3 linked regions of the Pelodiscus sinensis genome follow. The protein of the gene in region 2 purifies or fractionates together with the protein of the main gene of each other region. This does not show direct contact. Links are inferred from orthologs where the notes say so. Each region holds a gene or a part of one and is shown on either strand. Other genes may lie near its edges.

Evidence for each region.
Region 1: the proteins of PFDN6 (region 2) and PFDN4 purify together in Homo sapiens (affinity purification with mass spectrometry; 6 studies listed by BioGRID and IntAct, counting the BioPlex papers as one, with this or other methods). This does not show direct contact. The link is inferred for Pelodiscus sinensis from reciprocal best matches to the Homo sapiens genes PFDN6 and PFDN4.
Region 3: the proteins of PFDN6 (region 2) and VBP1 purify together in Homo sapiens (affinity purification with mass spectrometry; 6 studies listed by BioGRID and IntAct, counting the BioPlex papers as one, with this or other methods). This does not show direct contact. The link is inferred for Pelodiscus sinensis from reciprocal best matches to the Homo sapiens genes PFDN6 and VBP1.

What each region holds. Positions count from the first base shown.
Region 1 is NC_134728.1:16,428,304-16,432,049, reverse strand, and holds the start of PFDN4 (prefoldin subunit 4), read left to right. Parts: upstream 1-1,430; 5' UTR 1,431-1,524; coding exon 1,525-1,674; intron 1,675-2,555; coding exon 2,556-2,663; intron 2,664-3,746. UniProt on the Homo sapiens protein: Binds specifically to cytosolic chaperonin (c-CPN) and transfers target proteins to it. Binds to nascent polypeptide chain and promotes folding in an environment in which there are many competing pathways for nonnative proteins.
Region 2 is NW_027465970.1:69,704-72,908, forward strand, and holds PFDN6 (prefoldin subunit 6), read right to left. Parts: upstream 2,234-3,205; 5' UTR 2,213-2,233; coding exon 2,095-2,212; intron 1,501-2,094; coding exon 1,430-1,500; intron 1,046-1,429; coding exon 921-1,045; intron 706-920; coding exon 585-705; 3' UTR 508-584; downstream 1-507. Other genes in the region: RGL2 (ral guanine nucleotide dissociation stimulator-like 2), read left to right, coding at 1-45. UniProt on the Homo sapiens protein: Binds specifically to cytosolic chaperonin (c-CPN) and transfers target proteins to it. Binds to nascent polypeptide chain and promotes folding in an environment in which there are many competing pathways for nonnative proteins.
Region 3 is NC_134723.1:29,342,018-29,345,763, reverse strand, and holds the start of VBP1 (prefoldin subunit 3), read left to right. Parts: upstream 1-1,040; 5' UTR 1,041-1,104; coding exon 1,105-1,197; intron 1,198-3,746. UniProt on the Homo sapiens protein: Binds specifically to cytosolic chaperonin (c-CPN) and transfers target proteins to it. Binds to nascent polypeptide chain and promotes folding in an environment in which there are many competing pathways for nonnative proteins.

The sequences.
Region 1 (3,746 bases), on a different chromosome or scaffold from region 2:
GATATATCCACAGGATCTCTTGCAAATATCTGTGAAAGTGGGTAGCCCACCAAAGCTACTTTCCATCAACTGAATTATGGAAACCTTGGCTAGTTGTTAACTTGTTAAATGTATCATCAGCCATACACCTTGTTTTACCATGGCTCCAGGTGCTTGAATTTGGGGCCCAACTTTGCACTAACAGCAAACTGGTTGTCAGGAGTTCACTCCCCCGCAGCTGTGGTTATAAAACGTTATGATGACCTGATTTTTTCATAGCTGTGATATAAGCTAAATGAATAAACAAGCATGTGGAGGCAATTATGCAATGCAAATGCCAATTGCCCTTATTTCTATTTAGGAAAAACCATCCCCCTGTCTTAAACAAAGTATGTATTATTTAATCACAAGGTCCCTCTGGAAAGGAATTTGGAGTGGAAATTTTTTTTCTCTCCACCTCCAGTCATTTCCCTAGCATAACAGATGTCCCCAGGACAAGTCTGGTCATGTGGTTAAGGACTAAAGAAAGCTGGGACCAATTCCTGGCTTGAGCAAAGTTCCCATGTGACTTTAGCCAAGTTGCTTCATCCCTCTGTGCCTCAATGCCCCATCTGCAGTGGGGATAACACTTCACCTACGTCTAGACTGGCATGATTTTCCGCAAATGCTTTTAACGGAAAAGTTTTCTGTTAAAATCATTTGCGGAAAAGAGCATCTAGATTGGCACGGACGCTTTTCCACAAAAGCACTTTTTGCGGAAAAGTATCCATGTCAATCTACACGCGCTTTTGTGCAAAAAAAGCCCCAATCGCCATTTTCGCGATCGGGGCTTTTTTGCGCAAAACAAATCTGAGCTGTCTACACTGACTTTTGCCTGAACGGGAGCAGCATAGTATTTCCGCAAGAAGCACTGATTTCTTACATGAGATCGTCAGTGTTCTTGCGGAAATTCAAGTGGCCAGTGTAAACAGCTGACAAGTTTTTCCGCAAAAGCAGCTGCTTTTGCAGAAAAACTTGCCAGTCTAGACACAGCCTTCCTGAGCTCAGAGGAGCATGTGCCCCTCATATCCCTGTGGTGCTGAGCAATGGCAATAAGAAGAGGCCATTGGTGCCGGCTGCGTTTGCTCATTAATATTTATCTCCATGACTGATCCATATTAATGGCGTGTTCACTGGGATATGGGGGGGGGGCACTGGTTCCCCCAAGCCAAGGGAGTGCACTGGTGACTGCTCCCCCAAGTGGGGTAGGCGCTGTGGGGTTCCCTCAGGTACACTGTTGCCAGCTCCCCCTTCAGTCCCAGGGGAGGAGCGGGTTACTACTGTACAGCTCTCCCGCGCGGCCTTGGGCTCCCTCTTTCCATGTGCTAGCTCGTGGCGCCACCTAGCGGCAACTATCACGCTCGGCTTGCAGAGCCCCCTAATCGGTCGGAGGAAAAATATCCCACGGGCAGTGCCTTTAAGCAGGGAGTACCAACTGCGAGCGTAGGGGTGTGTTTGTCCTGTTTCCTATGTTATCTGACCCAAGGTCTTCTCATCCCGTCGGGAATGGGGCGAGCGCGCTACTCGGAGAGGGAAGCGCCGCCGCGGATGACCCGGAACCGAGCTGGGCCGGAGCGGGGGGCCGGACATTGGCACCCCTCCTCTGCAGATGGGAGAGTAATTCCGTCCAACATGGCTGCCACCATGAAGAAAGCGGTGAGTGGGGTGGCCGCGCCCTGGGTCCTCCCGGCTTGTGCCCGTTCCTAGGACCCGCTCTGCATTCCCCCCCCCCCCCCTAGGCTTTGGTTTCTCCTCCTCCACGCACGGGTACATGGAGCGGGGCGCTAATATTTTTTTTGGGGGGGGGGGGGGGGAGACTTGCTCTGTCCAGGCTGCGCCTTCCCCGCCGCGGGGAGCGCTGGGTTTCTAGCGCGGGGTGGAGTCAATGCCCCCCAAGGCATGGGGGGCACTGACCCCCCAGCTCTGGGCGCTCCCAGAGGTGCTTCGCTGGTGCCCTTTGGCGCTGCTTGTCTCGAGCCTACCCCCCCCCCCCCCCCCCCAGGAGAGGCAGCAGTGCGCATCTCCCCCCCCCCCCCCCCAGTCCCTGTGAACGGGCTTTCAGTTAATGCTGGCGCCGCAGTGCGGGTGCAGGGGTGTCACATTCCCGGCCCGCGGGCCATCGCGCAGGCTGACTCCCGAGTCCCAGCAGGCCCAGTCTGTCCTGTTCCCTGAGCCCCGACCCCCCTGCGCCCTGTCCCCGAGGACGCTGCTTTTGGGGATGGCTGTAGGAGTCGGGGGAAGCAGCCCGCGGTGGAGTGTGCTGTGACTCCTGCCCCAGGGCAGGCAGCGGGGATTGACGCTACTGCTGCCCTATACTAGCCCCCCTCCCCAACCTTGGTGATTCCCCAGAGCTATGTGAAATCACTTTTTTGCCAATAGAAGTTGTATGTAGAGTAGCAGCATCGATTAGCATAACTGTACTGGCAATCTTCTATCTATCCGTAGGTAAGAAACTATGAGAAATACAAAGTTTCCCACTTTTTACCTAATAGTTTAAAAAAAAAAATTCCCCCACTGTAACCCCTATTTCTGTCCAGGCTGCTGAAGATGTCAATGTTACTTTTGAAGATCAACAGAAAATTAACAAATTTGCAAGAAATACCAGCAGGATTACAGAGCTGAAAGAAGAAATAGAAGTTAAAAAGGTACCTTTGCTACCCACTCACATGGTATTAGGGCACTGAGCTCATCTTTTATGTAGCTCAGAATTGGGGTTCACATCCATAGTATGGGCTGGAGGATACTATAACTAGAAGAACTTTGGGTCTTCTTTTAGGTGTAGGAAGTAATCCTGCAAGAGGCACAAATGACCAATATTTATCTTGAGTATATTTCTTCTGCTTTTGCATACAATGCTTAGAATCCCTTAATCATTGTGTATGGGCAAAGTGTGTGCAGTATTAATCCAGGATTAGACCTTTTGCTAAACTTTCTGGGACAGACTCCCCACTTCGTTACTCTACAATTATGCTCATGCAACTCTGTTGAAATCCTAATCTTCAATTGATGAATTCATTTGAAATGACCCTGGTTATATTTACATAGCTCTGACTGTGGCCAGGTTTACATAGCTCTGACTGTGGCCAATGCCCAATGTTTCAGAGGGAATAAACAGACCAGGGCAATTGTGTGGTCTATCCCCAGTCAAAGTCCCAAGTTCTCAAAGTCAGACATTTTGGGACATCTAGAGCATGGGGTTATGTCCCTAATCAACTTGGCTAATAGCCATTGATCAACCTGTCCTATAGGGATGTTAAATGGTGTTTAATCAAGTAGTTGATGGAATTTCCATTGATTTAGTTAAGGGGAAAACGACAGAGCTGTAGCGGGGTTAGCTCTTCATTTAAAAGGCTGAAGCTCAGAGGTGGTGGGGGACCAAGCACGAGCCAGGAATCAGTTGTCCCAGCTCATGCCTGGTCCCCTCACCTGCTGGCTCTTAATACATTTAAAAAGCAGGATTGGGAATCAGCTGGCTTGTGCTTGCTTCCCCTGTGCCCCATGGAGATAGTGCTGGCAGGGAACTGGCTTTTAAGTCAGCTCCTGCTCCCCCCACCTTGCTGCCTCTCTGATGAGACAGCGGGGGGAGGAGGGGAAGCGACTAATTTAGTCACTGATGATCATGCTTATCGGATAGTTGACTAGTCGCTTGCATCCCTACTGTCCTACATGTAATTACCTAATTCTTTTTTAACCAAAGTTATACTTTTGGCTTTACAACATTCCCTGTC
Region 2 (3,205 bases):
AAGATCAAGGCGACGGGTCGCAAGCTGGCCCGGGCCCTCTTCTGAGGGCGGCCCCGCTCCAGGAAAGGGCTGTGGGATGGTCTGCAGGGCCCTGCCCACTGGCCGCAGCCTCGGGCCATGACCTGAGTGCCTGACAGCCCCTCTGCCTACGGCCGCCCAGCAGGGAGAGCTGGGGGCTGGCTGCACAGGCAGTGAGCCCCCAGCAGGACGCGGGGGGAGGCCAAGGGGTTAACCGCCGCTGGGCCCAGGGGGCTGTGGGTGCCCCTGTGGAGAGGGCAGCGTCTCAGGGACTTGTCCCCAAGGGGTCCCAGCACCAGACCCCGGGCGGGGGGAGTGTCTCAGGGCCCTAGCCCTTTGCTGAAACACTAATGCAATAAAGACACTAAGCAGCTGGTGGTGAGCCGTGCTTCGGGGGCCCAGGGGGTCAGCCCTGCCAGGGAACCCCCAGGCCCAGAGGGGCCACACCCATAGCAGGGCAGAGCACACCCAGGTGGGGGCCACGTGGGATCAGTTTGTGCATCACCTCTTTTATTCTCAACAGTGAAAAACCTTAAATACCCCCCCCCCCCCCCCCCAGTGCCATCTCAGGCCTTGGGCACCGCCTTGCCCTGGGCGCGCTGATACTCCTGCTGCAGCCGGGCCAGCACCTCCCGCTGCTCCTCCGCCTTCTTCTCGCTCTCCTGGAGCTGCAGCTCGTAGCGCTTGCTGCGGGGGAGGGAGGGAAGGGGGGAGTGAGCCGGGCCCAAAGTGCCCCCCCCCCCCCCAGCCTGCCAGTGTGGCCCAGAGCTTGCCCCAGGGCAGGAGCCATCCTGGGGTGGAGCTTGGCCAATGGCCCCTAGCAGGGAAGGCCTCTGTGCCTGTGCCACTCCCCCTCCCCCCGGGGGGGGGGCTGGGACCCCTCCCGGGACACCCCCACTCACATCTCCCCAGAAATGTAGTCCAGCCTCTTGCTGACAGTGGCTTTCGCCTCCTCCATGTCCTGCTTCACCAAGACGGGGCCAATCAGCTTGTAGACCGTGTTGGTGGCATCCAGCAGCCCCAGCTCCTGGGGGGGGGGGGGGCAGGGAGCAGATGGAGGGACGGGAGACACCCTTGGTGAGGTGGCTTGCCACAGGGGGAAGGGGAGAGTGAGCTGGGAGTCTGTGAAAAACTGGGGGCGAGCAGTTGTTACTGGGGGCAGGAGGGGAAGGTGGGGGCAAGGGAGGGGAGGGGGAGCAGGGAGAGGAAGGGGAGTATCGGGGTGAAGGGTTAGCAGGGGAATGGGGAGGCGGGGGTATCGGGTTAGCGGGGGGGGCAGGGGGCGAAGGGGGGTACCGGGGGGGCAGGGGGAGAAGGGGGGTTGGGGGTACCGGGGGGGTAGGGGGGGCAGGGGGGTGCCGGGGGGGCAGGGGGAGAAGGGGGGGCGGGGGGGTGCCGGGGGGGGTCTCACCTCCTTGACGATGTTGTTTTCTGTCAGTTGCGCCTCCAGTTTCTGCCGGGCCGACAGGCACTTGCTGAGATCTGGGGGGGGGGGGGGGGGAGTGAGCTGCTGGGAGTGAGCCCCCCCGCTCCTCCCCCCCCCTCACCGGGGCAGGGGGCGGGGCCGAGGCAGGGACGGACCCTGGGGAGCCGCGGGCAGGTCGCGGGGGATGGCGCGGGAGGGGGAGGGGCGGGCCCGAGGGGGGGGTTACGCGGCGGAGGGGTCCCGGGGGGGGGGCGGGCCCGAGGGGGGGGGTTACGCGACGGGGGGGCGGGCGCGGGGGGGGGTCCCGGGGGGCGGGCGCGGGGGGGGTCCCGGGGGGGCGGGCCCGAGGGGGGGTTACGCGGCGGGGGGGCCCGAGGGGGGGTCTCGGGGGGGGGGGCGCGGGGGGGGTTACGCGGCGGGGGCGGTCCGGGGGGGGGCCCGAGGGGGGGGGTTACGCGGCGGGGGGGCAGGCGCGGGGGGGCGGGCGCGGGCCCGAGGGGGGGGTTACGCGGCGGGGGGGGGGTCTCGGGGGGGTTACGCGGCGGGGGGGCGGGCGCGAGGGGGGGGCCCGGGGGGGGCGGGCCCGAGGGGGGGGTTACGCGGCGGGGGGGCGGGCGCGGGGGGGGGTCCGGGGGGGGCGGGGCCGGCACCTTTCTGCAGCTGCTGATATTTCTCCAGCTCGCCCTGCAGCCGCTTCTGCACCAGCTCCGCCATCGCGCGCCCCGCCCCGCCCCGCCCCGGAAGTGCCGCCGGGCCGCGGGGCCCCATGGGATTTGTAGTCCCGCCCGCACTTCCGCCCCGTGCCGTAAGGGCCGCGACAGAGGCGGGACTTTGGGGCCACTTCCGCCGTTTTCCAATATGGTGGGGCGATGCCCCTACTTCCGCCCGGTGCCAAGATGGCGCCACCGGCTTCTGAAGCCACTTCCGCCCCGCTCAAAGATGGCGGGCCTGGGGGGGGGCAGTGACCCCGAGCGTGGTGACGTCCAGTGGCCTCCCCAGGAATTGAAATTGGGGGAGGGGTGTCAGGGCGGAGGAGGGGCAGCATGGCGCCATAGCTCCCCACACGGGGGGGGGGGGGTAGGCGCCCCCATGGGGAGGTCCCTGGTGACGTCTCGCGTCAGTGAAACCTCCCCCCGGCCCTGCCCCTCAGGGCCCAGGGACGTGGGGCCGGGGGCGCGTGAGGAGCCGTTCCCGGCCCCGCGGGGGGCGCACAAGGGGCCCTGGCTCTGTGCTGCGACCGGGGCTGCTCAGCGTCGTCACCAGCCTGTTAGCGACTGGCGCAGTGTGGACGCGTCTCAGCCCACGCCGGGAGCGTGGCAAGGGCTTCGGAGGGCGGGTCAGAATCCAAAGTGACCCGGAGCACTGAATACAGCCGCTCCCCGAGTTACAACCGACAAAGCCCCCATGGAGCGGTTGTAAAGGCAGTCCCCGAGTTACGAACGTACCCACGCTTACGAACAGCGCGGTTGCACGTGTGGAAGCAGGCAGTCAAAGGGGAATACCGAGTGGTGGCAGGATAAGCATGTTTAGGCGGGAAACGAAAAAGTAACTGTAATATGCTCGGCTCTCAGTCCAGCACGGTAGCTGCTGTATCTTGCCCAGCAACAAGTTTGGGCATGACTGTATAAAAGAGTTCACCTGGCTGCATCCAGTAGAAATCCCCTAGGCTGTGTCTAGACTGCATCCCTTTTCTGTAAAAGGGATGCAAATTAGACATATCGCAATTGCAAATGAAGCAGGGATTTAAATCCCCCCCCCGCT
Region 3 (3,746 bases), on a different chromosome or scaffold from region 2:
ATCAGTAAGTATCTGGAGAATGGGTACTTAAACCAAAGCAAATAAAAATCCAAGTCAATAGATAGATTCCCTTGTTAGAAAGGATACTACACAGAGAGCTGTTAGCTCCTTCAATGGTTGTTAAATTGGTAGGCTGTGTCTATACTAGAGCAATCTTGCTCTACACTGATCCTGTCTATACTGGCCGTGAATTCTTGCGCAAGTACACTGACGTTCTAATGTATGAAATCAGTGCTTCTTGCACGAGAACTCTGATGCTCCCGCTCAGGAATAAGCCCTCTTGCGCAACTCTTCTTGTGTAAGAGGCCAGTGCAGACCGGCAACATGAATTTCTTGCACAAGAAAGCCCTATGGTTAAAATGGCCATCAGAACTTTCTTGCGCAAGAGAACGTCTACAGTGGCATGGAAGCTCTAGTGCAAAAGCACATCTCTTGTGCAAATGCATATGCCAGTGTAGACACTCTCTTCTGGAAGAGTTCTTGCACAAGACCATGCCAGTGTAGACGTCAACGTAGTGTCCGGGGACTTTTATCTGCTTTTAAGTACCCATTCTCCAGATACTTACTGATGCTCTGTCTTCCAGCCCCCTCCCTTTTTCTCTCCCCCACCCCGCATTTATTTCCAGTGTACTCATCCCAAACTCATAACTCCGGTCATCTGAAGGAGTGGGCTGTGCCCAAGAGAGCTCATGATACCATCTACAGGTTTTGTTAGTCTGTAACTGCTACCAGACCATTTGTTGGTTTTTTCTATATACATATATCATCATGAGCTGTCATGAGCACAACCTCTCCTCAGTTTGTCACCGCCAAGGTCTCATCAGTGGCAAGCAAGATATTGTAACAAAGAGCTTCAATGTGTTAAGCAGAAATACTGCCCTGGGCGTGACTCAGCCCTGTACCATTTTTCCCCTGGGGGCAGCACAGCAGAGGCAGAGCAAGGGGGCAGCACTAGATCAGTATCCTCCCCTGTCCGTCAAAGCGCGGCAGCCAATGGCCGTGACGGAGCGGTGGGTGTGACGCTGACGCAGTGACGTACACTGCGCTCGGCGGCCGGAGGGCGGCTGCTCGGACGTACGCGCGCACGCCGTCAGTTTCCCCAAGATGGCGGCGGCCACCAGCGGCGAGATTTGTTGTGGCGAGGCGCCCGCGGGCGGAAAGCGGGGCCACCTGGGCATCCCCGAGGCGGTGTTCGTGGTGAGAGCCGCAGCCGGCGCCCCGCCGCGGGGGGAGGGGCGGCAGGCCGAGCCCGGGCGGCGGCGCCGGGTGGGAGCTGGGCCGGTTCCCGGCGCGGGGGTCCCAGAGAGCGGCGTGGAAAGGGGGCACCTGGCCCATCTCGGCCACGCCCCAGGGCCCGGCGGGGAAGGGCTCGCAGCCACCTGCGGCTTCTGATCCTCCTGCCCGCGCCGGGGCTGCCCCTTGACCCATCGCCCCCCCGGGTGAGCCGCGGCGCGGGCCCCGTTTCCAGGGGCAGGGAGGCCGGCCCGGCTGCTTAGTCTCTCAGGCCGAGGGGGGTTCGGGAAGGTCGCTCCTGCGGTAACCGGCCGGCCCTGGTGAGGCCGCGGGTCCTGCTCTCTCCCTCTGTGCCGAGGTCGAATTGCTGTGACTCCTGACCGCAGTCGTTGGGAGCGCCCGTGGGGGTGAGAGATGCAGTTCTGGGTTCAGCGCTGTGTCTGCCTGCTTCCAGGCTTGGATCCTGAGGAAGTGTTTGGTGGACATGAGTGTGTGTCCAGGGAGCGGGTTGGTATCTGAGGTTTCCTTTTGTGTAGTGTTTTAGGATCTTGTGTGATGATCCCTGGTTCGGTGTTTGTCTTCTACATTCAAAGCAGCAGTATTCAATATGAAGTGCTTTGTTTTTTCTTAAAGTGTTTTGATATCTCCAGAGTTTTTGAGGAAAACGAATGTCCCGTAGAGAGAAATTCTTTTGACTGTAAGGTGGGGAGCCAACTCTTTTCCTTTCAGAAAATTAAACAGCATCTCACATCTTTGAAATGGTGTGCTTTTTTTTTGTTCTATTGAATTTCCTTCAAAAGTTGGAGGAAAAATAAATCTGCACTATGATCAACTTACTTTGATTATAAAGTTTAGACTGAAAATTGATGACCAATGGCCATATGGTGTTTAAGTTAGATAGGCAATTGCCTTTGCAAGTTCTTTAGATTGTTGTTTAAAAAAAAGGAAAAGTGAATTTGAAAAACCTTAATAGAAAGACTGAATATTGTATAATATGAGGCTATAGGAAAAATTAATAAATTCATAATAATTTTAGGAACAAAGAATTTGCTTTAATGGCTCAGAGTAGCAGACTGTGACTCAGTGTCCAGTTTTCAAGAGTGGCTAATACTAAATGTTTCACAAAAAATTGCTAGAATCCTTGTATGATGGTTAGTGTTGTCTCCTGATGTGCTGACCATGATGCCTGCCTTCCTGCTCTCTGGGGTTCCCCACTACCCAATAATGCTGGGCCAGATTCTCTAGTCTCCTCTAGACAAGGTACAGAGTTGGGGTTACCGCCCCCTTTCGGAGCAGCACAGACAGTGAAGCAGTTCAGCTCTGGTAGGACTTGGCTCTGAGGACTCAGTATCCAGGAGAACAATCATTAAAGGGGACCAAAACCCCACATGAATCTGTTGTACTCTGTAGAAGTTTTACATAGTGAAGGCTCATAAAGGTCACCCACTATATCAATGAAAGAAGGAGATGCACAGTGGTTGCCCTCCATAGCAGTTATTTGCACTGGGATTGATAATAAATAAAAGTGTTTTTTATTAAGTACAAAAAGTAGGATTTAACTGGTTACAAATGAGAACAGTCTGATAAAAGTAAGTTACTAAATTACAATGAACAAAAAAGCTGTTTAAGGTAATGCAAATTCTTACCTTAACAGCTGTTCTCAGGTTAAAGCTTTGTCGGAGTTGATTTTTACTCTAGTTTGGGCCTACAGCTTTTCAGAGTTCCTTAAGTATCCTTTTAGGGTGGGCCAGACAATTTCAAAAGCGGGTTGAAGACAAAGTCTGATTGCTTAAATAGACTTTTCCCCAGGGTGACAATTCTTTCTTCAGTGCGTCCCACCACATGAAAAATTACCAGGTTCAAGATGGATCCCAGAACCTGGTCGCATGGTCATATGTTTTTCTAGGACCAGCTACAGTTTGGACTTAAAAGCCAAACATGACCATTCATGCTTTGAGTGCTGAGTCATTAAGTTTCTAGGTATTGTTACCACATTTAGAATGAACACATTTACTATTCATATTTCTAACTTCACATTCTTCTAATCATTTCCCTTATTCCTTGTATTTCTATTACGTATTATTTTACATGTGTGCAAAACTGATCACCATGGCCAGGATTTTCAAAGGTGACTTTGTCGGGGTGGGCAAAATATGGCCCACCAAACATTTCCCTCCAGCCCACTATGATCCTCTGGGATTCTAAAAATCCCAGGGCACAACACTCAGGTTGCCTGCCTGCCATAGCCCTGACCATGTTGCCCCGGGAAGTGGCCTGCTGCTGCTAGCATTTGCCACACCACTCTTTGGGTGGTGTGAGGCCACAATGGCATGCAAGTAGCCTGCCCGCTGCCCACCTAAGAGCTCTACTGTGCTGCCAGCTGGGAGCCACCTATGGCAAGGGCCTCCTGCCTAGGGTCACAGCATGCACCTCACACCCCATTCAGCACCCCAGCCCTCTGTTGCATCTCTGAACTTCTTCCTGGACTCAAACTGCCTCCCAGTTCCCTGTCC